4 linked regions of the Drosophila melanogaster genome follow. Changing the gene in region 2 together with the main gene of any one other region gives a genetic interaction. Each region holds a gene or a part of one and is shown on either strand. Other genes may lie near its edges. The genes, in order: cv-c, Rho1, br and RhoGEF2.

Region 1 (7,215 bases), on a different chromosome or scaffold from region 2:
ACGCAAAAAGACCGGGTGTAGTACTACAGCACATATGTACATACATTTCTCAAAAGTCCGGCCAAAAGGTTAATTATGCAGCCAGAGACTGGGAATTCACAGTGTGCACTATAAGTATTCACATTGTACGAAGATGTAAGTTAGTCAGCGCTCGTCAGTGCGGTTCGTCAATCATTTTCTGGATGGCTTACAAGAAAATCGTGTACGGTTTTTCAGATTGTTTTCCTATTTTTGGTGGTGATCTGTGGTCTGTAAACGTTTTCACTGCATTTTTTACAACCAAACAAATTTTTTGACAAGCAACTGACAGAAATTGACAAGCGGCCGAGCAATGGGCTAATATGCTGTACGGCCAGACCGAAAAGAACCCCACAAACGATATGATGTGAGAGATGGTTCCAGCTGTGAAAAGGTCAACATTTCAGACATTCAGACATGCTGGGTCTGTCGTGCAGAGTTATTGCCTTTTTGCCTTTTTCTTCTCAGCTGGCCTGAGTTGTTGCCTCACTTTCCAACGATGGCCGAAAGAAATGAAAAGTGTGGCCTGAGAACCCGAGAAAGGCCTTTCTTCTGCGCGGACCAACGACTTTGACCAGCTAATATTGACAAATTAAAAGCAGGTTAATGTGTCTTTAATGTTTGTGTAGTTTTCTCCGGTGGGGCTAGGAATCTTAGATCCCAAACATCCATTGATGCAACATATGTGCGCGCCGGCATGTAAAAATATACACAAAGATCGGCGCGTATCTTTAAGAACCGACATAAAATCCAGATACATTTATGCACACGTGTGGTAGTGCGGTTGTGTGAGTGTGTGCTGTGTGTGTGGAAACTGGCAGCCAAAGGCAAGGCAATTCAAAAGTCATTGAGGCGCAAAAGTCAAGCATAAATATTTCAAATAATGTTTGCTGGCCCCGCTGGCATTGGGTCTTGGCTCTTTGGTCTTGGATCTTTGTAAACCCAACTAAAACTGCTCGGCTTCTCTTTCCCCCGCCATGCTACCCCTCTCTTTCTCACACTATCAGTTTGGGTGTTTGTGTGTGTGGCATAATTTGGTGAGAGTTCGAGTTCAACAGCTGAACAAAAAACAGCACCGAGCACATTAAGTTTGAAATAAGAACAACACTATAGAACTCAAAACCGTACACATAAAAAATCGATGTTTTAATACAATAATAATAATAACACAAAAAAGAAGTGCTCAGTAAAATATTATTCATGTCTTTATGTAATTAAGAAATTTTTACTTAAAAGAGCAGATAGATCTTATAAGATTTCAAAATTTTCCTCCTTATGCTTGAATTTAATCATAATATCAGATTTAAAACCGATCATATTGTGTTTCTGTGTAGCGATCGGAAAACTGAGAACAGAGAATGGAGCACTGAGAACTGGGGAATCGTAGAACCGGAGAACCGGAGCTCCCAGCACGATGAGATGAAAAATTCTAGAGAGAGGCGGGCGTTTTTTGTAATAGACGATGTCTACGCTGATGACCTCAGTTAAAAATAAATAATGCCTTACATTGTTTGGAATTAGTGGCTGTTTCGTTACTCCAGTCCGTAGATGAGATCTGCATCGAGATTCGAGATTCTGGCCTTAAGTTCAGGGTGGCGCTCAGCGATCGGTGATCATGAAGATGCTCTGGTGAGGGGTTGGCGACAATAAGACAAAACATGGGGCGCCCAAACAAATCATTTTGTCAACTCAGCTTGTACCCGGCAGCTGGAGCAGAGACATAGAGACATGCATACATATTTGTGTAAATTCTTGTACGACATTTATCACACACGAAATTGATGAACCTGCCCCGCCTGATAAATGTTTGCGAGCTGCCGAACAAGGGGAAAGCGATTTTACTAAATCAGGGAAAATCTGGGCAGAGATTTGCTTCTAAGCTGCTGGATTGGGTGTAACATGGTTTTGTTTAATTAAAAATCAGAAGCGAGTTTTTTACGGAAGATGTTTTAGGATGGGAGATGTCTTGTTTATTTTGTTTATGTTTTGAATTTCATATCTAAATAAATGAAATAATATTAAAAATCCTAACTGCATGTAACTTATAAACATTGAATTATCAATTTTTTTGGGTCTTTCCCAACCAGAAGATGAAGAACGCCAGGCCAGTCGAAATATTGTTTCAGTTTTATTTACCTGAAATTTGCTATTTTATCAAGCACCCAGCACAAGTGTTTCGCTGTGAACTTATTTACATACTTATCGGTACGTATGTGGAGTATAAACAACAAAGGCAGAAACAACGAAAAACGAGTTTCTATATATAAGGTGGCTATGCTGTAAAATAATAAAGGGCGGGCCGTATCAAGAGTTGTTGTTATGGTAGACAAAACGGGTCGCCAGTTTCAGTTTCTCGGGGGTTAAAACGATCGACATACTCCGATGACGCATTTTAGAACCGGAAATGCTACGCCTGCCATTTGGCTGAGTTCTCAATAAGTATGCAAATCGGATTCGGATTGTTTGTGCACTTTTCGGTGATTATTCCCATGAATTAAAAACAAACGCTGGAGGGAAAAAGCAGCACTCGACCAGAGTGTAAACAAACTACAATACATAGCGATTATGATTTATGAATCAAAATAAAGCGCTGACAATTCAAACAGCAGCGGAAATGGTAAAGAAAGCCGATCAGAACTCGTATAAGGCCAATAAAAACGATCGCAGATAACTCGAACGCGTCGCGTAGATTATGCCAGCGACTAACTAACTGTAAACATATACTATTTAGGTTATCACTATCTTTTTCAGTTCGCAGCTGACAAGATAAAGTTGTACCACAAAGTCAAAGACTAGAAAACCGAGAAACTCAGGTAAATTTTGGGGAGTGAAAGTAAGTGGCAAACCCGGCGACAATCACAAGATGTATCTAAAACTCTGACGTTTCGTTCTAGGAAGCCCCGAAGCCACCCATAAACAAGCGACGTCTGGATTTCTCGAGATCTGCAGATCTTTATGGACCTGCAGATAAGCTGGATGGATTGTTTATCCTACCCCGAAGATAAGCGACATGGGGTCCCGAAGCTCTATTTACCTTTTTAGATGCGTTTGCGGTTGCTGCTCGCGAAGAGAGTATCTGTAGCTTTGGGTTTTCTTTATTTCTTTGATTTCACAACACCATCGGAGATTCTATAAACACCAAATAGAATTTTACTTTCGTATATTGCTTCACAGAACTTTTCTTTTCGTATAAATCAGATGTGTAATTTCTCTTTTATTTTCGTTGTTTCGTTTATTTTTTTATTTTTCTGAATCACTTGTATTTATTTCTCGTTTTCAACAACAACATTTCGTCATGTTTTTTTCTATGGGGCGTACAAAAAATGTAGTAAACGTAATCGAAAACAAAAGCACGCGTTCTCTTACTCGAAAGAGAGAAAGAGACGGGCGGTGAGGCAGAGAAAGAGACAGGGATAGAGATAGAAAGGGGGAAACAGAAACACACGCACACTACAAATAAACAAAAACGGAACCGAACCGCAAAGAAAACCGATTTTTATGCACTATTTAATTTTATATATTTTTCTGCACGCAGTTTTTATTTTTACTTTTCTGGTTTCGAAAGATGTTTATTTTTTATTATGGGAAGTGTTAAAACCGTGCGAAATTCAAGCCCAACAAACGATGCGTTTGTTTTCTTTGGCACTGCAATTTCCGCGCTACATTTTCGTATTTTCTATTTGCTTTTCGAAAAACAAGAGATTTCTTTATTGTTTAATGGAGAGTGCCTTTTTAATCGCGGTTGTGTGAGTGTGCCTCTGTTTATCGCGTTCGTTATTTGTTGTTGACTCCGAAAAATTCGTTCACACCCGCGCTCATTCATAAAACGTATCCAAAACACACGATGTCACGCACTCACAGTTTTTTAGCTTATGTTTCTGAAAATGATTATTAACACTTGATGCAGTATTTTGCAATATATTTACATCTCTTGACCCGCACGTTTTTTCGGATCCTAAATTCAATGTTCACCTTTTTCGTAAAAACCTGAGAACTGCCAATAAACAACGGTTTTTTGGATTCAGTATGTTTTTAAAAAATTTGAATAACAGAGGAGCGCTTTAAATTTGCCCGACTTTTCCCGGTCGAGGTGGAAACCCAACTGTTGTATCCAACAAACTCGTGGTTGGATCACCCTGCTTACCCGCTTTGTTTTCAATGGAAATGTTAAGATACAGCGTTTTAGCGGTTAACAGACGCTATTTCTATGGGAACTCAAAACGTTCGCTTGCTGTTCACATGGAGTTAACATGCGCGAGACCCGCGATTACCGGTTAACAGAGCGAGCTAACAGCAAGAATTATGAAGAGAGCAACATGTTGCGCTCAAACTGCGCCAACAGCTCAATTCGAGCCGATCGGAGCGATCTCAAACGACCTCAAGCATGTTGCAGTTCGAGAGGAAATCCCCTAGAATTGTTTATTGAAAGTAAAAACAGTTGGAAAAACTCCAAGCATATGGATGTATTTGTAGCTCTTACACACCCATTCGAATGTGTTTGTAAATTTACACTAACAAGCGGTGATAAAATCCCATGTTAGTCTTCTCTATGGCTTATTTAGTGTGTTTGGGTTTCTGATTTTATGACCCGGGCCTCATCTTTGTGCAGCCTCTTTCAGGCTTTATCGACTGGCATCTCCCTTAGTTCTTATCAGTGGGGCATTGTCTTATCTGCAGATTTATGGCCCAACGCTCATTTAATAGCCCGATTCCTGGAAGTCGACTTAACACTTTCGTTGTCTCAATTTGATTAGCGCCTGCATTGGCTTAACACTTTTTCACCCATAAAATTGTGTGAACCAAAACGAAAGCGAGACAAACTAACTGTATATAATGATAATGAAAAACTCACAAGTGAGCTGTGGACTATTTAATCACTTTACTTTTGTAACCTACTAAAACAAAACTAATGTTCCTAGTCAGAAGAACAAATTATATATTACTAATCATAATATAATCATGATTTAAAGCAACTTACGTTTCAAGTGCAATAAAATACTCAATAACCGGTTAGCAGAGTTCTACGATTTGTGTAAATGAATAATTATCTAATTAGATAGCTAAACTTTTAATTTAAAATCCTTCAAGTCTGTAATTTAGTTAAAAATACAGATATGACCACAGTTTGAAAACCATAAAGTTAATGGCATAATGAGCCTTTTGAATACCATTAATAATTTGTAGGAGTATAAGATAAGAGGAAAAAAATCATATAAACACCTCTAACTGGCAGTTAATTAGTTGCAGCTAATTGGTGGTGCTTAGTTAATAAATATTAAAACCGAAGACGTTTGTAAGGTCCAAGAATAAAGCACGTGAAATTATAAATCATTCTTATGGAGGAGAACGAACTCTTGTTCCGACCAAATTGTTGAATGAACCAAGACAGCTAACAACAATTCGTCAGGATTAGCCGTGTCAACTCTTTCCTGTTTTTGTGCCATCTCCTTATTTTTCCATTCTATTGGCTTTTCTCTTGCGTTTTCTCTTCTCGTTCCCTCCGCATTTCATAACGTTTTGAGGTGTGTTCGCCGGTCGGTCTCATCCTTATCGAAGGTGCGCATCAACGTCGCAGAGAGATATACCCATTTACCCATAACCATTCCCGACCCGATCTACGTGCTCGGGTTCTCTTGCCGGCTTTGAAATCGAAACTGCCCATTGTGTTGAAATCTAAGCGAGCGTGTGAGGAGCTCCCCAATCTCCGAATGAATCCCAGTCCCTTCATGAACTCCAGATTCCAATTCAGAAACTCCATGCCGTGTGATGTGCTGCATGCTTGATCGATAGCGTCTGGCCCCCTTGATTTCCAACGAAAGGTAAACACATCAAAAGCAAAAATATTGAGAAACAAAAAGATGCCACGCAGATATTTTCGGAAATATTTTGAATAGTTTTCAATGCCAATGGCATCGGGTGAAATTTGTCTTAGACAGTGCACTGCAAAAAATGCACCTAGTCCAGCACTTTCTCTAATTAGAATATGAAGTCAATTATTATATTTTTCTTCAACATTATTATGCTATTAATAATCATATAAAAACATAAATTTTAAAGCAATCTTTTGAATTTGTATACTTACAAAGCAGTTGTTTTCCTGTTATATTTTCTCGCTGTACGTGTACTTTTCACTTTGGCATAAATAATGCCGTATGAAATGCGATAAACAGAGTTATATATTTGCACACAGCGGGAAGCTGGCCAATAAAGTTGTATGGGATTTTCCATAATGCAATGCGCCGCACCGAGTTAAAACCAAACCGAAACCGAAGCGAGTGAAAAGTGCCATAAAAAAGGCAATGCTCGCTTCGCTCTTGCACTCACTCAGCGACATCATTCTGTTAATGGTCGCACTGTCTCCAAACGGTGCAATATGCAGATTTTGTGGCATAGGCAGAAGATAGGGCGGAATACCCCCCCCCCCTATTTTGCCGCACACCCCTAAATGCATTTGCGCCATTTGTTGGCCTTGCCGTTTGGCTGATAAGTCGAGTTTTTATGGACGAGCGCGCATTTAACTTGATTATAAACGACGGCAGGCGGCCGGGCCATATAAAATCGCCTTTCATTATGGCCAAGGCATGTGAAATTAATAAGCAAGTCGACCAGCCGGGCGGTCCAACATTTTGGCCAAAATCTCAACACTACCCGTTGCCGCCCAAAGTTCGTTGCCTAAGTCTTTTGTTTTTATTGTTCGTTTTTTTTTTTATTTGTTTTGTTTTCGCCAGGCCGAAACAACCCGCTGCGCGTGTTTGTATGCAAACAAGCTCCAAAAGCCGCTATAAATGTTCATTAATTCAAATTGATTCTAATCGCGACGCCTTCATTAATCTAAGCGCCACCCCACGCACTGCATTTCTATTGGCCGCAAATTATTTATTGATGAGCCTTGCCGCGAAATCTGCTGCCGGTTGCAGCCACAATTGCATGATTAATGGGCGGATACCTGGAGTGTCCATGAAGTCCAGGGAGTCGCAGAATAGGACCCTTGTTCTATGACAAACGATCGTATTTATGGCTCTATTCACCATCCACAGGTAGTCACGTCTCTGCGCGTGTTTGCCTTTTACCTTTGGAATCCTTGGCTAGTTCACTTCCGCCTGCCAGCCACTTGTTACATGGCGGGCAAACAAGAAAACACATTTTAAGTGCTGTTTGTTTTGACCGGGAAGCGGGGACCCCAGAGCCGGGTGTCTG
Region 2 (8,980 bases):
GTCAGGCAGGAACTGAGACGTGCCAGAAGATTGGAGTACCGCATGTCCTTGGCGCTGAGACTCCAAGTTCCTTTTTCCCTTGCAGGCACTGCACTTATCAGCTTATGGAGTGTGTATTTTGGTATTTCATTGATCTTGAACTCCTCCGCAGAGTATATAATTGGTTTTATCTGCGACAGACTGTTCCGGTCGAGGACAGAATCAAAGTTATTGATTGGAATGGGACTGGCAATCTGTACAAGATCCGTGGGACGAATGCGATCCACCAGCAGAGCCATCAATTCGATACCAAATCCCTTATTATAGCCCATCGTATTTATCAGCCAAGGAATATTTGAATACTTGGCATCGTTCTGAATGTTTTGGACTAGCTGAATAACTGCTCGGGCATACTGCTCTGCGCACAAGACAATGTTGGTGTGGCCCACGACAATGGCATGTTCCGGCTGCCTGTTGTACAGGAAGCCCGGTCCCAGAAGGGGCTCATCAATTACGGTGCAAGAAATAGTCTGGGGTACAAATATTTCCGGCTGACCAATGTCCAGGTCGATGAGCAGCATGGATGGGAATTGACCCAGATTTCGGTTGATGAGGTAACGCAATAAACTAGACTTTCCGACGCCCTTACCACCGGCTACGATTATTCGGCTCGTTGCATGCATTTGTAACTTATTCCAAACCTGCGGAACTTGGAGAGTGCGACTTTGATCGCTCGATTGAATCAGACAGTGCAACAGGGTTTCACTTTGGCCAAATGGTCGATTGGAAGAATTGACAAGTGGGAATACATTTTGCGCCATGTGCTTGCCAAAGGTATCGACGAGCTGCTGGGCACTTGTGTTTCGGTGGAGCAGTACTATTGCATTCGTCTGACGCTGAAAGCTGGTCTTAATCCTGTCTAGCTGGGCGCGTGTAAAGTTCTTGTTGAGTTCTTCCCAATTTACCTCATCTTTTACAGGTTTTTTAGTCTTGGTTGGCGAAATAGATACCCAATTAAGGCCTTTAGGAGAATAAATTGTGATTGCTTCCTGCCTGCGTGCTCTGTAACCATTTACTGATATTTGACCACAGAGTAGAGTCAACACTAGTGTGCCATAAACTTCGAGGTCCTCCTTAATCACGGCCAGCACATGATTGCTCTTCAGACTGTTCTCAAAGACGCTAAGCTCAGTGGGATTCGCTTGCGGATTTCTGTAAAACGGGACATCGCTTGGTTGGAGATAATTTTCCTTTTCTGGTGTTACAACTTCAGGCAGTGATACCTCATCATTCTCTTCGGTTTCAATTGCAACTTCAGACTCCTTCTTTGGGGGCACACTGCTTAAGTTTTTTACAACAATATCCATAACACTTGACTGTTCAATACGTTCTTGCTTTTTTTCCACAGGCGGATCGTCGAAGATTTCCTCTATAATAAGCGGCTCTCTTTGCATACCCACAGGTGGATGATCGAAGAATCCCTCAATGTCAGGTGGCTCATAAGTTGAATCGAGGTCGTCGGTGTCGAAGATATCGCTTCCGAATTCTTCACTATCGCTGTCACTAACATCCTCCATATCGCTATATTCACTGTAGAAATCTCCATCACTATCATAGTCTGCGCTGCTTGTGTCTTCACTGTCAGACTCTTCGCTGTCAAATTCCTCCGATCCAAAGTCATCGCTATCTTCTGGCTCATAATCAATGTCATCTTCGTCGCTGTCAGTTTCTTCCTGTGCACTTTTAAATACCTTAATCTTTCGAACTGTTCCACTGCCATCCCCATCCAACAAAAGAGGTTGGTATTCATCGTGTTCAAAAGGAGGAAGAATATCTGATAACTTGTATTCGGGGCCTTTGCATTTGACCTTAAAAATCTTTGGATCTTTAAGAAATGTCTCGTCTATTTCTTCAACTACATCGTTTTCAGAGTCTAAAAAACATAGTTTAAGTTAAGAAACAAGAGTAATATTAAAAATTCCTTACCACTTTCAATTAAATAATCGTCTTCTTCACTCCAATCATCCAATGAATTCATTTCAATGTCACTTGTTTCCGCTGCAGTACCAATTATCTCTACTACTTTACCATTTTGTACGACCTTCATTGAGCTCTTGTTTCCATTTACCTTATGTTTCTTAGATAAACTTGCTTCTTTTGTTTTATTTGGCGTCTTGACTTTGGTTTTCTTAGGAGCTAATTCTGAAAAATACATATATATTAAAATAAAATGAGGTTGTAATTCTGGATCTAATGCATACCATTTATACTATGAACCTTGGGAATAGGAAGCTTAGCACTTTTGCTTGTTGCTGCAGATTTTTTAGCTGCAACATTTGAGGATTTATTTACAGGATTCTTTTTGGGTAGGGTATTATCCTTTTTAAGCCTCTTCTGGGATGGTGAACTGTCTGGATTCGACACATTATTGGAAAGAGGTCTCTTTGCGCCGGCTGTCTTATTTTTCTTGGATTTTTTGGGCGACTCCATCTGGGCTTTTTGAATCATTGTTTCCGAAATCTTTGCAGGATTGCTGGCCACCTTTGAAATAACTTTTTTCTTTGGAACAGCAGGTGGGTGTTGTGGTTTTTCCGGCTTACGGCGACCAGAGGCTAGTTCTCGCTGTTCGGTGAGCTGGAAGCTCAGTTTCATTTCTTTCAGAATATGTTCGTCAAGCATTCCTTTTCAGTTTTTTGCTGAACTACCAATACTTCCCGGGCCATGCGACCGCAAATTTAAGAAGAAGAGCAAGAATAACATATGTGCGGTGTTACCAGTCGTGGTCGGTCATGGGAATAACGCGCACAGAGTTGCCATCGATGAGAACTATCGATTGGGTTAATAACAGCCCTGCGCTCGAAGGCGTTGGTTGGTCATCGAGCGTTCATCCCGCTACCGAGAAATGAAACGGATGAACATTGTTCATCGTCATTTTGCATGGGAAAAAATCGTCGAGTTCAATTCGAATTTTTGTAATTGCATTAACTTTTATACGATATAGCTAAACGGTAGACGCATAAGAATCAACAAATTTGTGCCATTTTGTAAGCAAATTAAGTGTCGAATTCGTGCTGAGTGTTGTGAAATCACCAATATAAATTGTAAGTGGCCGAAAGAGCAGAAGTGAAAAAATTCCACACAGCACGCACACAAATGCACGCACGCCCAGCCAGAGGCGAACAGACACACGCACACACACACACACACAGCCATACCGAGAGTGGATGATGAGATGTTTTTGGAATAAAGTGTGAGCGGGACGGGCGCGGAGAGAGGAGTTTCCTGGAGTGTTGGAGAGAGGGGTGGAGAAGCGGGCGGCCCTATGACGCGACCAAAATGAAAATGCGAATGCGAAAAACCGTAAAGAAAAACGGGAAAAACTCGGCTAACGGACAATGGACAATGGCCAGATAAGAAAGAACCCCACACTTTATACTATTAGATCGCCGTCCAGCCGCAAGTATGACTAAGTGTGTGCGCGAGCGGGAGAGGGCTATCGGAAAAGAGAGCGAGCGCGCGAGTGTATTTGTGCTGTGTGTCCACCAGTGTGCGTGTGACTGTATGCGAGTGTGTGTGTGGCTTTTTCATTTTGATAATTTTTTGAACAGGCGCTCGTTCAGTTTTCGCGAATATATAAAACAGAACGGCTGACTCGGATTCGGAATCGAAAATTGTATTCGGATTCAGAATCGGACTCGGAATCCTCGGGCATCCGCTGCACTTGCATTGCATCTAGCTACAGTTTGATTTTGCCTTTTGCAGAACTTCCAATGACGACGATTCGCAAGAAATTGGTAATTGTCGGCGACGGTGCCTGCGGTAAAACTTGCCTTCTGATTGTCTTCAGCAAAGATCAGTTCCCCGAGGTCTATGTGCCCACCGTATTCGAGAATTATGTGGCCGACATCGAGGTGGATGGCAAACAGGTAAGCCCCTTTTCCCGGACAGGCCCGCCCCTCCCCTAACTACCCGTCCCGTCCACCACTCTGAATGCCACCCCCAACCGGTGGCTGACCCCCCTCCCCTGATAACCCCACCCTGCCATCCAAGTGATAATCGTCTGATCTCGTTTTATAATTTGTGTGCATTCTCAATTCATTCCGTTTTTCAAGTGCGCGTATCCTCCTTACACTTTCCACCCGCCTCTGTGTGTGTGTGTGTGTGTGTGTGTGTGTGTGCGGGTGTGTGTTCCCATGGGTGTGTGTTTATTGTTCTCTTGTTTGTGCCACCCACAACTTCACCCACACCTTGGTCGTTGTATTTCCTTTTCTTCGCCTGTAAAATGAAATGAGTCAATATCGCCTCATGCCCACAGACGCATCCATAAATAAAGGTGTCTGGAAAAGCAAAAGAAAAATTAAGATCATTTTTGGTTAAGTGGAGTGCAAATTTGGATTTTTCCGAAGAATTCAAAGTTTTGATAGCAGTGATTAAGTCACACTTGGGCACATTTCCCCACACTTACACGCACACATGCTCAACAGAGAGTTGGCAGCACACACACACACACAGAAGTAGTGCTGCTCCCTTCCTTCCGCTCGTTTTCTTTTCTTTTTATTTTGTATTTGTCTTATACAAGTCCGTTGCGCACATACAGTTTAATGCGTTGCGCCGCCCCCCGCTCTTTCTGCTGCTCTCTCGGGCGCTCTCACTCTTACTCTTTCTCCCTGCCTACCTGTACTCTCTTCTAAGGGGGGGGAGCGCTCTCCCGCTCCACCGCGCACTCCCTTACTCTATGGAATGTAATGTGCGTTTTCCATTGGGGCATCAAGTCATGATTTGGCTATATGTTCGTTCATATATTCCATTTGGGATCTACAGTATTTTCAGGCGCTTTTTTTCGAAATAAACACTGTGTGTTTGCCTTTGCTGCGCAATATGGCGGGTTTTCAATTTTCAGTTTCTGTTTGTGTTTCTGTTTGGATAGCGTTTACATACACACAAGTTCACGTCATTCCACTTCGCCTCGCTTCGATGTGATTAATTCGTTTGGCATTTCCGTCAAGTTCCTTGCTCACACTCTCGTACTCGCACTCATGCTATCTTCAACTCGAACTTGTCCCATTCTCCTCCGAGCCCGCATCGCACCGTCCCGTGCCACAAAAAGCCCCATCTATCTATAACCCTGACGACACCGCAACTGCAAGCGTAACTCTCAATCATAATCCGCATCCGATTCTCCAGGTGGAGCTGGCCTTGTGGGATACGGCCGGGCAGGAGGACTACGACAGACTACGACCGCTGAGCTATCCCGACACTGACGTCATACTGATGTGTTTCTCAGTGGATTCACCCGATTCGCTAGAAAATATTCCTGAAAAATGGACCCCAGAGGTGAGTTTAACTGGAATTACAGAACAGTTTCTATCAGACGATCGTAAACAAGTATGGTACTATATATATATATACTATACGGAACTAACAAGTCTAGACAAAATATGTTTTTAATTTTTATGTAATGATGCAAATTTGGAAAAAGTTGAACTTTTAACTCCAGTTAAAATATATTAAACATTTTTGAAGTTATCGAATGCATTTGCTTATGATATGGAATCTTTAAGACTATGCATCTCTGTGTTCTTGTTTATGTCATTGAAGCTATCTGAAAGACTGGTTTTGGTTTAGAACGAGGAAAGTTTAATAGAATTGTTGGTTATTTCTAGTTTAATCACTAAAAATAGTCTGCTATGAGCCAATTTGCTTTGACTTTCTGAATCATTTCCTTACTTCTCAGCCTTTAATTTATAATGATAGATATAGATAAGAAGAAAGTAAGTGGTTCCCAATTACGAATTACTTGTTTTTGCAGTTCGACTATATGGAATCTGATATCAAAATATGATACTAATCCTTACTACATTATTGCAGGTCAAACACTTTTGTCCAAATGTTCCAATCATTTTGGTAGGAAATAAGAAAGATTTGCGAAATGATCCCAACACAATTCGGGTACGTATACGCGCTGTTGAACGAGGTGAACTTGCAGCACTAAACTAAACTTGATTTTACAGGATCTAGCAAAAATGAAGCAGGAGCCGGTGAAGCCGCAGGAGGGTCGCGCCATGGCCGAGAAGATTAATGCCTTTGCCTATTTGGAGTGTTCGGCTAAGTCCAAGGAGGGTGTGCGAGATGTTTTCGAGACGGCAACTAGGGCCGCGCTGCAAGTCAAAAAGAGGAAGAAGACCAGATGCCTTTTGCTCTAAAAGAGCAAATCAACAACATGAAAATCTTTACCACACACACACACAGCAAAAACAACAGCATAAACACACACAAACACACATACACACCTTTTACAACAATAACGAGCTGAACAACAACCACTCAACAACAACATCAAGAACAACCAGAACATCGGATACACGAAGCTGCACCACCACCCAACCAGCAACAAACATGAGCAGAAAACAGAGAGCTTGAGCTAGAAGATCAGCGGAGGAGGGATGCAGCGAGATATAAGGGAAGGCAGCACCAAGTAGAATGTCAAATGCGGATTTGATTTTATATACAGTCTAGTGTAGTTATAAACCGAAGTAAACAACAGTAATAACTCTGGCATTATTATTTGTAAAAACTAGGGCAGAGCAGATCAATCAGTCAGCCACTGCAAGCAAAAAATATATATCGATATATGTAAACATATTCAAGTTGTGTCCGTTTCTGTCCACCCCCTCCTCCTAGATGTATGTTATTATTTCGTTAACTGTGTTGTCAAGTGTAGAGTCGGCTGTGGCTGGACGAGATTGTGTCGTATGCGAGGGTGAGTGAGTCAGGTGAATCAGTGGAATTAGGAACAGAATCGGAAACGGAATCGGATGTTGGATCCCGGGGTCCAAGGAGGTCGTAGGCGTCAAGATGAGAGTTATGTTCCCATTAAATCTATCAAATACAGAGAGACCAGGCCGCCAATAGGAGTTGGAAGCGAAACTACATTACAAGAGCCGAACTAAACACAAAACAAAACAAAACAAAAACGATAAATGTTTATTTAACTAAACGTAAGCCACAAATGAGATGCATTCAGTTTTCGCGTGGGAGATGCTAAGAGGGAAAATTTTTGATGAAGTGAAAAACTATTTCGAGCGCATTAAGCGAGTTTTTAATATTTGTACTTTGCATTAAAACGAGTGGAAAACATAAAAAAAAAAAGATACTACAAAACAACCAAACAACTATATGAAGAGTATTTTATGATTTTATAAAATACGATTATACATATAATTATACTATACAGTACATATGTGTATGTCTCTTTTTTTGTATTTTGTACCGTCAATCGTGTAATTCTCACACAGAAGTTGAAAAACTCGAAGATGCATCAGATACAACCAAACTATATTATACTTATGAATAAACAGTACATTTGATCTACTCTTGGTTTAACTAACTGTTTTCTTATTTGGCCGGGCATCGAATTTTATTAGGCTAAGATAATGGATTTAAATCCGGGGAATACCCGCCCTTTAAAGTCAAAACACTTATCTTTAACGGGGTTAAAAAAATCTTTATTGAGGGTATTGTTTTTGTTTATTTTGTGCTTTTGTATTTAATTTTTTTTTTTACATTTAAAATGTACATAACATTATGAATCAAAATGTTTTGGTTTTTCATCGATTAGGTATTAGGTTTCACAATATTATTCCCGAACAGGTATGTCGTTTTCGAAACAACATGGACACGACACATTGCTTTGAACATCTAGTTCCCAAGCCTTTTCTCTTAAAACGTACTTTTTAATCGCTTAACTTTCGCGGCGAAAGCAATTCTATTATATTTCTACCCGCATTTGATTCGTTTTCGTGTTGGAGCTGTTGTTTTTCTTTTTTTCGTCAGTCGATCTGTTTGGTTCGAACGGTTGCAGGATTCGCAATAACAATTAATTATTAGTAATTATGGGTAGTCCATTCAACTGTTTTTTGGGATCATGTAACAAACAGAGTAATTAAAGCCGTGTTAGTATTTTGTTTCCGGTGATGCAGTTAACATTGATGAGAGGAACTCATGGTGATTGCTTAGAGAACGTGATGTGTGGTTTCTTGTGGTAAAAGTAATCAACAGATTTCGTTAAACTAATAATAAATAAACTTAGGCGTAACACGTGTGTCCTTAACAATATAAACAATAGACTTTTCTCAAACTTAAACAACAAATGCATCGGCTGTCGTGGACTTAAATTATCAATTTGGGCTTGGATCTGAAATGAACGCACATTCTCATTCATATTTCATAATTTGCAATGTTCCCGCGTTTTACATACTTCTTAGGTCGATCGATCGATTTATAATATTAGTATACATTAAATTCAACATTTATTCGATTAGTTAAATGTGTGGCTCGTGTAACGTATGTCATGTGCGTGTATTCTGGGTAAATACGTACATACATAAGTTTAAAAATCCTCCAATTCTCTGCCCTTCGCACCTGGCAATTGGCTTTTGGGTTAATCTCCTGGCTAGGATTCAGAGTTGTTCAGATTGTTAGTGGGGGAAGACTCGACCCCTCGATCTTGCTGAATTTAAATGCTTTTGAGCTTTAGCCAATTGCCACACTTGCTTAATCGCTCTCGTCTAGGAATCAACATTAGTAATATTTACTACATAAACATATGTACGTGCATTGTTAATATGTATCTTTTGGATCGGTGCTTAAACGTATTGATATACTCTATCGCTGATCTACTGCCTCGCTATCCTTTCCGGCCAACAACAAGTACTTTAAATAGTTTCCATAACAAATAATAAATAAACCACTGTGGCCATAACAATTAGTTATCTGCTCCTCGATCGGTTAATTTCTCTTTTGTATGTTGTATCTGATGGGTATGTGCTATATACAAAATATAGCAAACAAAAGTTACTTGGTTTTTGTGGTTAATATTGCACTCATTTCAAGGAATCCGCCTCCTGGTCTAGTTAAGGTTTCGTCTGCGCCGGAAAACCAATGCGAAAATGGATCGGATGCGCCACCAGCGACTTCGTCGCCCCGTGTGAATCTTTTCCGA
Region 3 (7,227 bases), on a different chromosome or scaffold from region 2:
AAGAAGCACAAGTGAAAAACACAAAACTGTCAACGAAAGTGCAGGAAATAAACGAAAAAATTAACCAGCGATCCGACCGTTGGCAGTGCATCGAAGAAGAAGCCCAACCCATTCCCATACACATGACCATACCCCTACCCATTTCCAATCCCATTCCCCGTGACGTCCTAGTACCCCACAACTATGAACATGACACTCATGACCAACTGACTGACTGAGCAAGCCGAGCAGGAAGAAGCAGCAGGGAAAGCGCAGAGCAGAAGAAAGGGGAGTTGCAGTGCTAAGTGCAGAAGAAAACAAAGTGAAGAATTGTGCACTCCGAACGAGAATTGCTCTGGGATAAGGAAATGTATTGTTCAAAAGTAATTAAATGACGTATGTACTTTTAGGACTAAAAATCCTACTCATAAAATAGTAAGAAATGATTTCTTCAAGATGCTTTAAAAATTACTCCAAATTTGAGATTAAGTATTTTCAAAATCTTTGGCGTACTTGTCTTCCATCTTCAATTGGCTGTCTCCTGTGCCGGGGCAGAAATAGAAACATCGCGAATGAAGCAGAGGCAGGTCGCAGAAGAAAGGAGAATTGAGAATTGAGCGCGGAGAATCGAGAACGGAGAACGAAGAACGCGAGGGTGACAGAGACAGAGGCAGAGGCAAAAGGGGAAAACTGGAGAAGAGTTATCTCCTAGCCTTTGTGCCTGTCCCATTTGTTTGTCTATCCGGCTTTTGGCCTTGGAGTAACCGTTTCCGAGAACTTGGGAACTCGCCTATATGTATGTCCATGTGTCTATATGTCTATAGCGATAACTATGCACTTTGTATGTCCCTGTCCTCGTCTGTTGGCTCTTCGCATTCGCGTTTGTGTCTGATGTTTTCTGTGTTTATTTTGCAACTCCTCGACTCACCGCTCGCAATTTGCGGCGGCCTTGAATGACACGATCATTACGCTGATCGTGCTCATCATGATCATCATCGTGATCCCTATTTGTTACTGCGACGGATGCATTTGTGGCTGCTGTTGCACCCAAACAAGTGCTCCGTTGCTAGAACATGAGTCATGTGAGTGTGAGTGGAGAGCTGGCAACTGAAACTCTGGGGAGCTGCTGCTGCTCGTCTGCGTGCTTTGTCCACTTGTGGCGATGCGGCTCTCAATTGGCCGCAGTTTCCAGTTGATTCCAGTTGATTGGGCTTCAAGGCTAACGGAAGTGCTACTGGTTGCTAGTCTGTTGTGCAGTTTCTCTAACTGCCCGCTTCTGTCTCTGAGCCTCTGATTACCACTAGCCCCAAGTGGGTCGCCCAGGCCGTTACCCCGGTTCGGATGTCCTTTTACTGTTGCTCCACTCATAAGCTTCCTGGAACTCAAGCTGGCACTGGAGTGGGCACTTGTGCCCTTGCCGCACTGCATTTGCAGCATTTACAATCTGTGGCAGCAACAATTGCAGTGCGGCAACAACAAGTTATGCGCCGACAACCTTGAATGTCGGCCAGTCGCACACAGATGGCTAGCACGCACACGCAGACATCCTAATACACAGACACTGACACAGGCACAGGCACAGACACAGTACGCAGACAGCGTCTAGTCGGGGCCACCACTTTGGCGAGTCTCCTCCATCTCCATCTCCTCCGTCTCCTCTGTCTCCGCCGCCTCTGTTTTCCTAGCATCCAGCTATCCGACAGCCACCAGCCACCACATTCGCATCCCGAGCTTCACAGCACGTCCCACGTGTGTTCCCCACACCCCCAGCCCCTCCTGGCTCTGACTGTGGCTCTGGCTGTGGCGTAGTCTGGCTGCGTCTCTAGTTTCTGTCGTTTTATGCTTTTTTCGCTCTTCCTTTTTGCTAGGCACGCTTCGTTGGCTGCCTGCAATTTTCATTCAGTTTTTCTCTCGTCGCGCGACTTTCCCACCCCGCCCCCACCGCTTCTTTTCCTCCTCTTCCTCGCGTTGCAGGAATGCAGAAAAATGTGTTAGTGGAGTAGTTGCCATTACGTCACCTTGCTGTGACTGTGCCTGTGCCCATGTCCGTGTGAGTGCGCCAGTGTGCGAGTGTATGGGTGCCGGTCTTTGTGGCTTGCAGATGGGGAATGGGAATGGCTGATGATGGTTGTGGATGGGGATAGAAATGGGGACGGCGGAGTGTTGTTGTCGTTTGAGTGACTCGTCTGGGTCTCGGTCTGGGTCTGGGTCGCCCTAACAACTGGGAGAACAAAAAGAAGAAGCTGGCGTTACCACCTTTCCTACAGATCGGTGGGTGGAGCAGGAGAAGCAGCAGGAGTAGTGGGGACCCTGTCACCAAACCGCTTGACTGCGTGCCTGTCTGGCCATTTGAGTCTCGCTGTTGGCCCAGTTCCAGAAGCAAACCCATTGAAAGCAAAAGTTTCAGAAACACCACCGCTCCTCACGTGACTTACCTGCCGTAGAGCTAATCCTGAGATTGATTCCTGAGACCGATTGCGATCGAAATAGAATCAGCAAAAGCCTGAGTGGGTTGCTAAAAGGATACTATGTATATAACGAGAAACATCAACAGAAAAAAAAATATAAACGCAACGAAAACAAAATTGGCGTGGAAGCAAGCTGCTTGCGGATGTGCAGATATACAGATATGCGGATATGCGGATGCCGATATTATGTGAACTTGCGAATTCAGCGCGACTTGCACTTTGCGCGAGCGATTTACGGTACTCAGTTTGCAGTTTGCAATTCGCAATTGGCGATGAGCTGCCACACGACGTTTGCTCAGTGCGACGCTGAACAGCAAACTGCAGTTCCGCCGTTTCGGGCTGGCTTTCGATCGTTCCCGAACCCTGCCCAACCGGCCTTCGTGTTCGGCCGAGTGCAGATCCTCAGCTGCCTTCGCCTTGGCCGTGAGCTTCACGAAGCCTCAGTCTGACTGACAGACTGCAGCCGAAAAAGCGAGGAGTGGCGGGTAGCGGACAAGTGGGGAAGTGGGGAAGTGGGGAAGTGTGGAAGTGTAGAAGTGGAACAATGCAGCGCAGAGTCCAGGGGTGGAGAAGCTGAAACGGGGCTGAAAGAGGCGACTGAGGCTACTGTGCTGCCCTGCTTCCTGCAGTGCATCTGTATCTGTAACAGTATATGTGTCTGTATCTGTATATGTATATGTAGCTGCATCTGTATCTGTATCTGTATCCGTACACTCTGTGCGTCTTTGTGTGCCTTTGTATGCAGATGCACCGAAATTTTTGGACAGTTCGAAGGGAGGGGTCTAGGCCCGGTCCGTCCGCTTTTGTGACTCTTCATCAAAGTGCTAATGAGGAGAGCCGAGCCCAAAGGCAGAGAGGGAGAGAGCAGGCAGCTGCATCGGATGACTCAAATGTCCTTCTTATGGATCGGGCCACGAATCCGAATCAAATTTCAGTGTGTATCTGTACCTGCAACCGTGTGTGAGAATATGGATGTGTGTGTGTGTGTATGTCGATATAGATCTGGATGCTAGGCTCCCTCTGCCCCTAGATCAAGGAGCTTCCAGCACGTTCGGTTTGCCCTACAAAGCAAAGCGGATGGGGTCGGATGGGATGTAGGAAACCCTTACCTGGATGGTGCGGTTGTAGTTGCGCTCAGTAGGTGCATCCTTGCTCATGGCGGCGCTTCATTGGGTCGACTACTTGGGGATGCACACTGATTATTCACTTGAACTTTTGGGGCTTTGGGTTTTTGGGGTTGGCTTTCGCTTTTTCCGCTCCTGATTCTGCGATTCAGTGATTTAGCTATTCTTGGATTCTTAGATTCTTTTGATTCAAAACGCGCGCGAATCGCGCACTAGATGGTTTGCGTCCTTTGGTCTTTGCTTGGGTGCACTTGACAAAAAACACAAAAAAATAGAACAGAGGGAATTGTCCAGTCCTCGTGTGTGTGTTGGATACTGCTGTGGTGCGTTGGTGCGGTGGTGCGAGGGTAGGCGTGGGGTGGGCACTAATGCTATTCAATTCGGGCTCAAACTTAGAAATGGAAATTGAAATTGTGCGTTTAGGCTGAACTAACTTTAGTAACTGAACCGATCGAATTAAAAAGCTCAACTGAGTTCCGAAAAAATGCAGTTAAATGTGTTGGGCTTGTGCCGCTGCCCTCTGCCAGTGTGCGTGTGTATTGGTGTGTGCGCGAGTGTGTGCGTCTGCCCAATTGAATCAGAGAATTCGCTGTGCACCAGTGTTTGTGATATATATGTGTGTGTGTGTATATACTTATGCCGCCTGTATGTTTCATTCGCTTTTTTCGCTTCTTGCTTTTTACTTTTTACTTTTTGCCTTATTTGCTCGCTTTTTTGTTATATACTTCTCGTGTGCGATTGTGTGTTTCCTTCGCTTTTTTGGAGTGCAGCGACGTCGACGGCGGCGGCAGCGGCAGCAGTGCGATCTGCGATCTGCGATCTGCGTTCTGCGATCAACTCGATCCGATCGCTGCAGTTTACAGCGCTGCCTGCAGCGCAGTCGCCAAAAAAACGAGCAAATTTTCTGCGCATGCGACGGCGGCGAAGCCGAGCAAGCGAAAATTGCGTTTTTTTCGGGGGTTCCATGTGTGTGGTTGTGGTTTTTTTATTATTTTTTTTTCTGCTGTCCGTATATTCTGTTGTGTTTTCTGGTATTGCCCATTTAGAAGTTTTGTTTATTCATTGTCAGGCCGACAAAATTGGGGGAAATGAAATGCAAAGTCGTCGGCGAGCGAACGAATCAACGAGCGCCGCCCACACACCGATGCAATTACAAACGCGAATGTTTGGGGCAGATCCGCAGATCGGCAGCGGCAAATTGTAAATAGAGTGATATGGAGCGAGAGGGGTAAGGGGAATGGGAACGGGTAGGGGAATATGCAACTTTCCCCCTATGTAACTCCAAAGATACAGAAAGCGGTACATACGCACACAAAGTCGGCGGCGATCGGAGCGTTTTTTTTTTTAGGCAGAATATCGTCGTGCGTCTTCGGCTCGGAATTGCCCGATTTCACGACCCGCCTGTACCCCCTTCCCACCATACCCCCACAGAGGGTTCCAATTGAAAGTGTAGCCCACATTTCGAGCCCCATCCCAAACGCAAACCCAAATCCAAAGTCGGCCTGTTTTTAGGGCCTTCCCCTGCCTTCCCTCCCTTGCGTCACCCTTTGGAATTGCATTTTCTGCTGATGTTGGTGAAGAGTTGTTTAATATTTTGGTTACCATTACCATTACCATTACCGCATTTTATTACATGGCTCCCCTGTTTGCCATAACCCAGATTCCCATTTCCCTGCTCCCCCGCCCCACCTCCTGGCACGCACAAAGACTTAAGACCGAAGACTGCAGAGCGAAGATTTGCTGGCCCTGAGGAGAAACTGAGCGACTGAGTCTGAGAAACTTGTTGCCACTTGCATCTTGTTTGCCAGTTTTTTTTTTTGTCCGAATTTAATTGTTTTTGCAGCGTTTTTATTTTACTGCTGCATCCCCTTGTTGTTGTCGCCGATATTTTTATGAGCTGTTTTTGGTTTTTTTATTTTTTAGATTCATGCGTGGCGATTTTGGTTTTTTAATTCTGCTGGTCTCGCACTCACGTTAGCATTTTTCAAGAATTGTCTTGAGTGTTGTTTTGTTAAGGTTTCCCTGTCTGCAGTGACCTCTTGCCGATTCATAAACGTATAAATGTATCTACACGTACCATATACACAACATTACCTACGTACCCATAATGCCTTTATTGCTGCGTCTCGTTCGGTTTATGGTTGTTTCAAGATCATCGCAAATGTCACCGAGTCACAGATTAGCCAGAAAGAGGCGAGTCGCGCGGGCAGGGACCACTGTAGTCGCTCTAAGCTCCGCTCCTTTGTTGGGTCTCCGGTTTCGGGTTGGGTGCTTTGCAATTACAACCGGCATTAACCTCTAGGCGGCGCAAACGGAGTCGCAGGCAGCCAACAACCTCGACAACAACCTGACGGCGTAGACGCCGACGTCGAAGGCAGAAGGCAGAAAACAGCGACTGCGAAGGCGAAATGATCACATTGAACTTGTCGATGTCGTTTGTTCTAATTGAAACTGCAGTGGGTTAGTCACCCGCAGTCACTCGCTCCCGCTCACGCACTGGCCATCTCCATCCGCCGACGTCGATCTCTCTTCGCCTGCATATCGGGCGTATACGTAATACGCGAGGAGGTCAACGACGGAACCGCCAGCGATATAGATGGGGCGCGAGCGAGAGAGAGAGTGAGAATTAGAGACTGCCCTCGCCAGCCGTGAAACACCAGTGTTTACACGAGAAGCGCTTTGATCAAGTTCAACGCCCGCGATCCAGTCGATCCAGTGCCATTTCGGAATACAAAATACAAAATACGAATGCGAATGCGAATACGAATACGAATCCGAAATGACTGGGGAATGTGCGATCAGAGCGCGGAGGAAGTGCAGCAAATCTAAATAATGGGTTTGGGAAAGATCCCGTATCTGGCACACGAAGATAGTCAAGTGCACGAGGTCGTAAACAATATCGGCATACAATATTTTCCTAGCTTCCTCTTCGTGAAAATTACAAATACCATAGGATACCATTGGCAATGCCAACTATATGATGTATCGTACAAGTTTGCCATCGATTGGAATATATATACATATATGAAAACTCGAGGTGTTTTTAAATGCTTAGCATTGAATTCAGCGTACAAATATTTGGTTATCTACGTATATATATTATATATGTACCAGAAAATGGGATATACCGCGAAACACTGGTTTCGAATATGATTTGGAAGGGAAGCACATTGGTGGTGGAATTGATCAATACATAAACAAAGACCCTTTGATGGAAAAATCCAACCTGCATCCGTACTTTCAGATTAAGCAGCAGTACATGTACTGCCACAATAAATACCGAATCCACTAAAATGAGCACACTTACATGTCTGAATTTTCGGCTGAGTCAGGTGCATGGGATCCCCTAGAGCTGCTCTGGATTCCGGTGGGTGATCCGACTCTGGCTGAGATCCTGGAACTCCGCACGCCACACACTCTCACTTTTACTGGGACAGTTTGTCAGGGTTTTTGTTGCGGTTGCTCGCTACTCTATCGGTTGGTTCAGATTGCATTTGATAGTATTTTGATTCGTCCCCGGATCGACTGGTTTATCACTTGATTTTTGGGTGTTCCTATTTTCTTGACTGGCCTTCACCTCGATTAGATTCTAGATTTGATTTATTGCACAACTTGTCATCTCTGCGGTACACCAAACAAAAAGAAAACAATCAACA
Region 4 (6,862 bases), 920 kb from region 2:
TATAAGTACATTGTTTTGTGCGGCGCTAAGGGAAAACAGGTGGTCCATGTGCACACATTGCGCTCTGTAAGCGGCTCGAATTCACATCAAAACAGGGAAATCGCCTGGGTTCACAGTGCAGATGAGATAAGCGTGATGACAAAGGCTTGCTTGGAGCCTAATGTCTATCTGCGTTCTCTGATGGACATGACCAGAGAGCGGACGCAACTTCTGGCTGTGGACTCCAAGGAGCGCATTCACCTAATTAAACCGGCCATTTCTAGAATTTCCGAATGGTCCACAATCACACCCACTCATGCTGCCAGTAACTGTAAGATAAATGCCATATCCGCCTTTAACGACGAACAGATTTTCGTTGGCTATGTGGACGGAGTGATAATAGATGTTATTCATGATACAGCGCTACCTCAGCAGTTTATAGAGGAGCCCATTGATTACCTCAAACAGGTCAGTCCCAACATTCTGGTGGCGTCGGCACACAGTGCCCAGAAGACTGTGATATTCCAGCTGGAAAAGATAGATCCGCTGCAACCCAATGACCAGTGGCCATTGATGATGGATGTTAGTACCAAGTACGCGTCCTTGCAGGAAGGACAGTATATCATTTTGTTTTCCGACCACGGAGTCTGTGTGAGTGTTCTTAATTGAAGTTTATGCGAGTAAAAGTGCAGTATTTGATTTCAATATTTACCAACAGCATCTGGATATAGCTAACCCATCTGCATTCGTGAAACCAAAGGATTCGGAGGAATACATTGTCGGCTTTGATCTAAAGAACAGTCTTCTCTTTCTGGCCTACGAAAACAACATCATCGATGTGGGTTTGCTAAACATAATATCATTAAACAATTATCAATTATTTCCAACGACAGGTATTCCGTTTAATATTCAGCTGTAACCAACTAAGGTACGAACAGATTTGCGAAGAAGAGATCGCCCAGAAGGCCAAGATCAGCTATTTGGTAGCCACGGATGATGGTACCATGTTGGCTATGGGTTTCGAAAATGGCACTTTAGAGGTATACATACGTCTTACAAATTCGTTTCATAATTATTTCCTGCTAATTATACATTTCCCAACAGCTCTTTGCCGTTGAAAACAGAAAAGTTCAACTGATCTACAGCATTGAAGAGGTCCACGAGCACTGCATCCGGCAATTGCTATTCTCGCCATGTAAGTTGCTCCTGATCAGCTGCGCGGAGCAGCTGTGCTTCTGGAATGTGACGCACATGCGCAACAATCAATTGGAGCGCGAGCAAAAACGGCGGCGCAGTCGACGCCATAAGCAGCACAGTGTTACACAAGAGGATGCTGTGGATGCGGCGCCCATTGCAGCGGACATCGATGTAGATGTGACATTCGTTGCCGACGAGTTTCATCCGGTGAACCGAGGGACTGCGGAACTGTGGCGGAATAAGCGCGGCAATGCCATCCGTCCGGAACTCCTGGCCTGCGTTAAATTTGTGGGAAATGAAGCTCGTCAGTTCTTCACAGACGCCCACTTCTCCCACTTTTATGCCATAGATGACGAGGGTGTCTACTACCATCTGCAGTTGCTGGAGTTAAGCAGACTTCAACCTCCACCTGACCCAGTTACGTTGGATATTGCCAATCAGTATGAAGACTTAAAAAATCTTCGAATTCTCGACAGCCCACTTATGCAGGATTCGGATAGCGAGGGTGCTGATGTAGTTGGCAACCTGGTTCTGGAGAAGAACGGCGGAGTGGCGAGGGCGACACCAATTCTGGAGGAGGCCAGTTCATGACGCCAGAAGTGCGTCCCTAGGCGGCGCACGAAACAGGAAAGTCCAAACTACAACATGGCATTTATAGGATTACTGCTCTACTACCTGATGGTTTTGCTCTTCTACCTCCTGGGTCCGGATTTGTCCTAGGCAAACATTAGTTGTTGGCGCTTACATTTGCGAATGTATGCAGCTAACCAAGTATGATATCTCAGAGGGCGGTGGGTGCGTTGCCCTGCCTTTGTTTGTCAACGCGAGTAACCGCCACCAAATAAACGACATTTCACGAAAAACACAGAACGCGGTTTTGTTGTCTGCTCTTTGTGCTGTCCGTATGTATGTATGCATGCATGTCTGTGTGGGTGGTTGTGCTGTGCGTTTGTTTTGATTTCTGCCAGGCACGCCAGATCAAGTGTTGCAAAAGCATTGGTCCCGGGACAGTGCTGCTAAGTTCGTGTATGGATATCAGTGTTGCGGTCCAATAAATAGGTACGTATCTGGATTGTGGCTCGTCTACTTCTAAGCTGACTTAAATTAATAAAAAGGCTTTGGCCTCAATGTTTGCATTTTGGTTTTATTAAAAAGTTCAAGTCAAGTTTGGGCTATAATTTTTATAAGCTAAGATTTACACACATTGCCTTAATGAACACACGTACGAAATATATTAAGAAGCATTTAAAACAATGAATAAAAACCAATAGCTAACTTGTATCATCGGCAAGGTACCTTGTTTGTACCAGTTTTAGGTACTGAATTCCGTACCGAACTAAAGCCCTTTTCAACACTGGCAGATATGCGCTCTTTCTCGTCATTTCATTCCAATTTTCAAGCTGAAAAGAAAAGAACGTCGTGTGCGTGTTGATGGCGCGATAAGTGAAAAAAATAAAAACATTTTTCGTGTCTTTATGGAATACAATACGAGTGCGTTTTAAGTAAGTGCGTGGCGAAAGTGGCGAAGCAGAGAAAGAATGATGCGCAACTCGCTACGCGTGAGCTCACTGCAGCAACAAAAGCAATAAATAAAAAAAGTGACTACATGCATTCCGCGCACCCACACACTGGCGTAAAATTCATACATATTTAAGTGCATTTGTGCACGCTCGTCAATGGCAAAATCGCGAGCTTGCAACTGCCAGGAAATATTGTACGCAAATTTGTCTAAAAATGATCTCTAACCCATCGCACGCAGACAGACGCAGCGCGCTTATAGGGGCATCGAATGTATGACGGCATATGTGTATTTATTTTCCACACTCGCCCATCGGTGGCAGTGAGTGTTAGTGAGCGACGCGCGTGTGTGAGTGCGTCGAGTGCTGAACTCTTGAACTGCAGTACATGGCTTTAATTCGATTTTAGGGATGTGCGGCTTGACGGAGCGGGAAGCGATCGAATTAATGAGTAAATGATAAACAACTGGACGCTTTCCGAGGCTTCGAATCCCTTGTTTTTCTCTAACAAGTGGCTTGCGGCAGCCATATTGTTTTGCCTTTGCGTTTGCGGCGATGATCGCACTCGCACCCCCACACACACTCAGTCAGTCAGTCAGTCCAGTTTGTGTGTATACATATTTATTCAATTAAATATTTGCGTTTAATTAAAAAGGAGTGAAACTGCAAGAATTGATTTATTTAGGTAAACAAACAGTGAGATCAGTGCAAATTCAAAGAAAGAGAGGGAGTCTTTGTTTTTCTTTTTGGGTTTTCGTCACGCTAATTGAACACAAGCGATTAATTGAACAATCAGCTGTTCTAATGGAAAATACGCAAATCTGGAAAGGATCGCTGGAATTTTCCTGCTTGTGTGTCCGCTCTGACCCATTAGTATAGCATTAGTATTTCAATTTTTCGGCCAAAAACTTGTTTTCCCCCAACCCCAAGTCGTCATCCATTAAATGTTTCGTGAAAACTAGTCAGCAAAAAGCACAACAATAAAACCAGCAACAACTGCTGCCTGCGAGTGACAGAGAAAGCAAGAGATTACGAGAGAGAGTGAGAGAGAACGAGCGCGGCGAGAGAGCCATAGGCATTGGAATATGTATGGCTTGCGCGTGAGTGTGTGGGTGTGCTGTTCAGTTATCTGTGTTGGAATAAAAACAATGAAATTGCAAGGAGATTGCTGCCTGCATTTGAACCCTCTCCGATCCGCCCCATCCCCCATAACCCTTCACCACCCACTCAAAAAAAAAAAAAAAAAATGCAAACAAATATTTTAATGTACATGCATTAATGCCCGAAATGTCTTCAAACGAATTTTGTGTGCCCACAGGTTTAAGTGAAAAGTAGCAGTGCAAAATATATATACACATATCAAAACCCATTGGAATAGTGCAACCAAAAAATCATAAAACAGAACTAAAGCAACGAAAATCGAGGCAATTAAATCACTTCTGGATTCATTTCGGCCCGTTTTTACTAGCTAATTTAAAAATAGCTGCCGAAAGCATTCCGCAACCACTTCTGGTGACTGGCCCCACACCAATGCGAACAATACTCCACGGGATCCTCCGACTTCGAGTGGCTTACGCATGCCTTTGAATTTGCATCTTCGCACCCGCACAGCAGCCAGCAAAAGCCATCGCAGGAAACCCTATGGATGACCCATCAATCAAAAAACGGTGAGTTCAACTGCTCCACTGTCTCCATGCGCTACAATTTCCCCACTTTCCACTTTCCCACTGGTTAAATTGCTCGCATTGCGATAAGAATTTATCTTTTGTCCTCGACAGACTTAATAATTGTTATTTTCGTTCTTATTCGCAAGCAACAGTCGATTATACACATACTAATAAATATACCAAATATACATCATAGAGGCAGGTTTAATGCAAATTTCAAAGGCAGTGTCAACTGGTTGTGGGAATTGAATAATTTTAATGAAATCTCGAAGAAGAAGAAGATATTAGTCACACAAAAAGTTAAAGCTCTTATTATATCAAATCGGAAGAATTTTTACTCATAAAAGAAGCTTTCACACATTCTTGACCTAAGTGCTTATATTAACATATTAGGGCTACCCTTAAGAACTAGCAACTTATGTAAGATCGTTGCCTAAATAGTGTAGCAGCCTTTAAGAATCCTCGAAATTATATTAAAATAATAGGTATTTTACTACATTTTAAATAGTTCTTAAGCCAGTTACAGATGATTTAACTGTGCATTAGATCACCGATCAACTTTTGTAAGCAATTACTAATTCATTTGACCCGTGATTAGTCAGCAAACGTTGTTTGAAAATAGCCAATTGACGAGGTGAAACTTTGCGCCGTCTCACAGTTCTGAAACGCACTGTGTTTGCTGATTGTTTATACCAATAGTTCCCCCAAGCTTGGGGTTGTTTTTGTGCGGTTTCGACTGCCAAACGGATGACTTAATACATATATACGCTCACCAACTTAGGGAGCGGCCAGTTTTCACATTTTACCATTTATTTCTTTTATTGCCACCTAGGGAAGTTTTAGCCCAAATAGATTGGCGAAACCAGTGACTTTCTAAGCATGCTTGTGTGTGCATTTGGTGGTGGTGTCTTAACCACGAATTGTATAATATACCTATGCAAAATGATTTAAATCTATTAACAGCTCACCACCACTGGTGTTGTCGTCTGATTTGTGGGCCTTAACAGGTTTTATGCCAGCCCGTCAACGGGCTGCAGCAAGATTTCCTCAAAATTAGGCAGCTAAATTTAGACAGAAAGAGAATTCACTTGGATCAAACGGAGAGACATGCTATTGACATGGGCCAATCAGTCAAAAAAGTTAATGTAAACATTTGATTTTTGGAGGTCTTGCCTGCCCGCCCGGCTGTTATGGAAATAACTCATCATAATGATGAATTCACCAGGCGGGAAATGAGCTTTTATTATATTCCGGTATATGAACGGGTCCGAAGGTGGTACACACTGTATACTGGGACATACATATGTACATATGTATGTTTATCCATTCCATTCACATGCAAAATGATCAAATAAACGGCAATTAAAGTGTATCTATTCTTCTGGCTGATTTAATTTTAGCTCAATTAAAAGAGACCCACCAGCGACGACAAATCGCTTGGCTTTGGCTTTGGCCGTGACTTTCGTTACATGTTTGTCGCATTCACAGCGAGGTCTTGATTAGCCACTAATCTAGCTATCTGCTCTTTAAAACCCAGCATACCACATGGGAATCGTTGGCGAAGAGCAGAAGCAGTTCCGCCATGAAATTATTCAGCATTGATTACCTCTCATAGATGATTGAGCTGGCAATCCGCTGGTTCTATTCAATGCCTGAAGTCTAGTATTTTAAAGGGTATACAAACTAACTAGCTAATCAACCATCATGGTTTAGTAAAGGAACAATAAAAATGAATTAATTGTAACCACAGAGACGGTAGTCACCAAATCAGTGTGTATAAAAAGGCGATAAAAGGTTTTACAAGATTAGTAAAATGGTATTGGTGACAACTAATCTGAGTAAATGAAGATAAAGATTTGATAGATAACGACGGATAGAAAATTAGTCACTCAAAGCGAAGACTTTAAAACAATGAAATATCCACAGCGCTATTTCATATTGAAAAAATTGTTGCTTTTCTGCTGCCAGATATCAAGATGGAGTTCATATTATGCGGGCAGGGTTTTAATTACACTTGAGCTTACTGAATTAATAATAATTATTATTATAATAATGAATAAATAAGAGTTTTGAATAAACTAAATGTATATTTTGTTCCGTCAGGTTACTAGATTTATATACTGACGAACATGAATACGATGAGGTTCAAGAGATACCAGAAGAGTCAAGCATTCAGCCCCCGGAGACATCAACGAGCCATACCAGCACAAACGGATCCAGCCACTCAGGCCCTGGAACTGCAACTGGACCAGGAGCGACATCTGCAGGCCCGTCAGCGGGTGCGCCACAGTCACCAGTAATTGTTGTGGACTCGGTTCCCGAGCTGCCAGCGCCCAAGCAGAAATCTGTTAAGAACTCGAAGAGCAAACAGAAGCAAAAGCAGTTGGCGAACAAATCGAAGATTCCACGATCTCCTTCGTTGGCGAGCAGCCTGAGTAGTCTGGCCAGCAGCCTTAGTGGTCATAGGGATCGGGACAAAGATCGGGACAAGGATCGGGAGAA

The links.
Region 1: of Rho1 (region 2) and cv-c, changing one suppresses a phenotype caused by changing the other (phenotypic suppression), as found in Drosophila melanogaster (4 studies listed by BioGRID).
Region 3: of Rho1 (region 2) and br, changing one enhances a phenotype caused by changing the other (phenotypic enhancement), as found in Drosophila melanogaster (2 studies listed by BioGRID).
Region 4: of Rho1 (region 2) and RhoGEF2, changing one suppresses a phenotype caused by changing the other (phenotypic suppression), as found in Drosophila melanogaster (2 studies listed by BioGRID).

The regions. Positions count from the first base shown.
Region 1 is NT_033777.3:14,477,590-14,484,804, forward strand, and holds the start of cv-c (crossveinless c), read right to left. Parts: upstream 4,125-7,215; 5' UTR 3,991-4,124; exon of another isoform or gene 3,324-3,990; 5' UTR 3,053-3,323; intron 1-3,052.
Region 2 is NT_033778.4:16,099,870-16,108,849, forward strand, and holds Rho1 (Rho1), read left to right. Parts: upstream 1-2,817; 5' UTR 2,818-3,023; exon of another isoform or gene 3,024-3,080; intron 3,081-3,227; exon of another isoform or gene 3,228-3,439; intron 3,440-3,596; exon of another isoform or gene 3,597-3,741; 5' UTR 3,742-3,749; coding exon 3,750-3,905; intron 3,906-5,163; coding exon 5,164-5,313; intron 5,314-5,847; coding exon 5,848-5,928; intron 5,929-5,990; coding exon 5,991-6,182; 3' UTR 6,183-7,360; downstream 7,361-8,980. Other genes in the region: CG8414 (uncharacterized protein), read right to left, coding at 1-1,912, 1,966-2,181, 2,241-2,658; Ric (Ras-related protein interacting with calmodulin), read right to left, coding at 8,888-8,980. UniProt on the Drosophila melanogaster protein: Has a role in regulating actin cytoskeletal organization: required during early development for proper execution of morphogenetic movements of individual cells and groups of cells important for the formation of the embryonic body plan.
Region 3 is NC_004354.4:1,609,133-1,616,359, reverse strand, and holds the start of br (broad), read right to left. Parts: upstream 4,020-7,227; 5' UTR 3,557-4,019; intron 2,704-3,556; exon of another isoform or gene 2,415-2,703; intron 1-2,414.
Region 4 is NT_033778.4:17,024,662-17,031,523, forward strand, and holds the start of RhoGEF2 (Rho guanine nucleotide exchange factor 2), read left to right. Parts: upstream 1-2,528; 5' UTR 2,529-2,678; intron 2,679-4,011; 5' UTR 4,012-4,334; coding exon 4,335-4,360; intron 4,361-6,463; coding exon 6,464-6,862. Other genes in the region: Dark (Death-associated APAF1-related killer), read left to right, coding at 1-630, 698-817, 873-1,019, 1,084-1,767.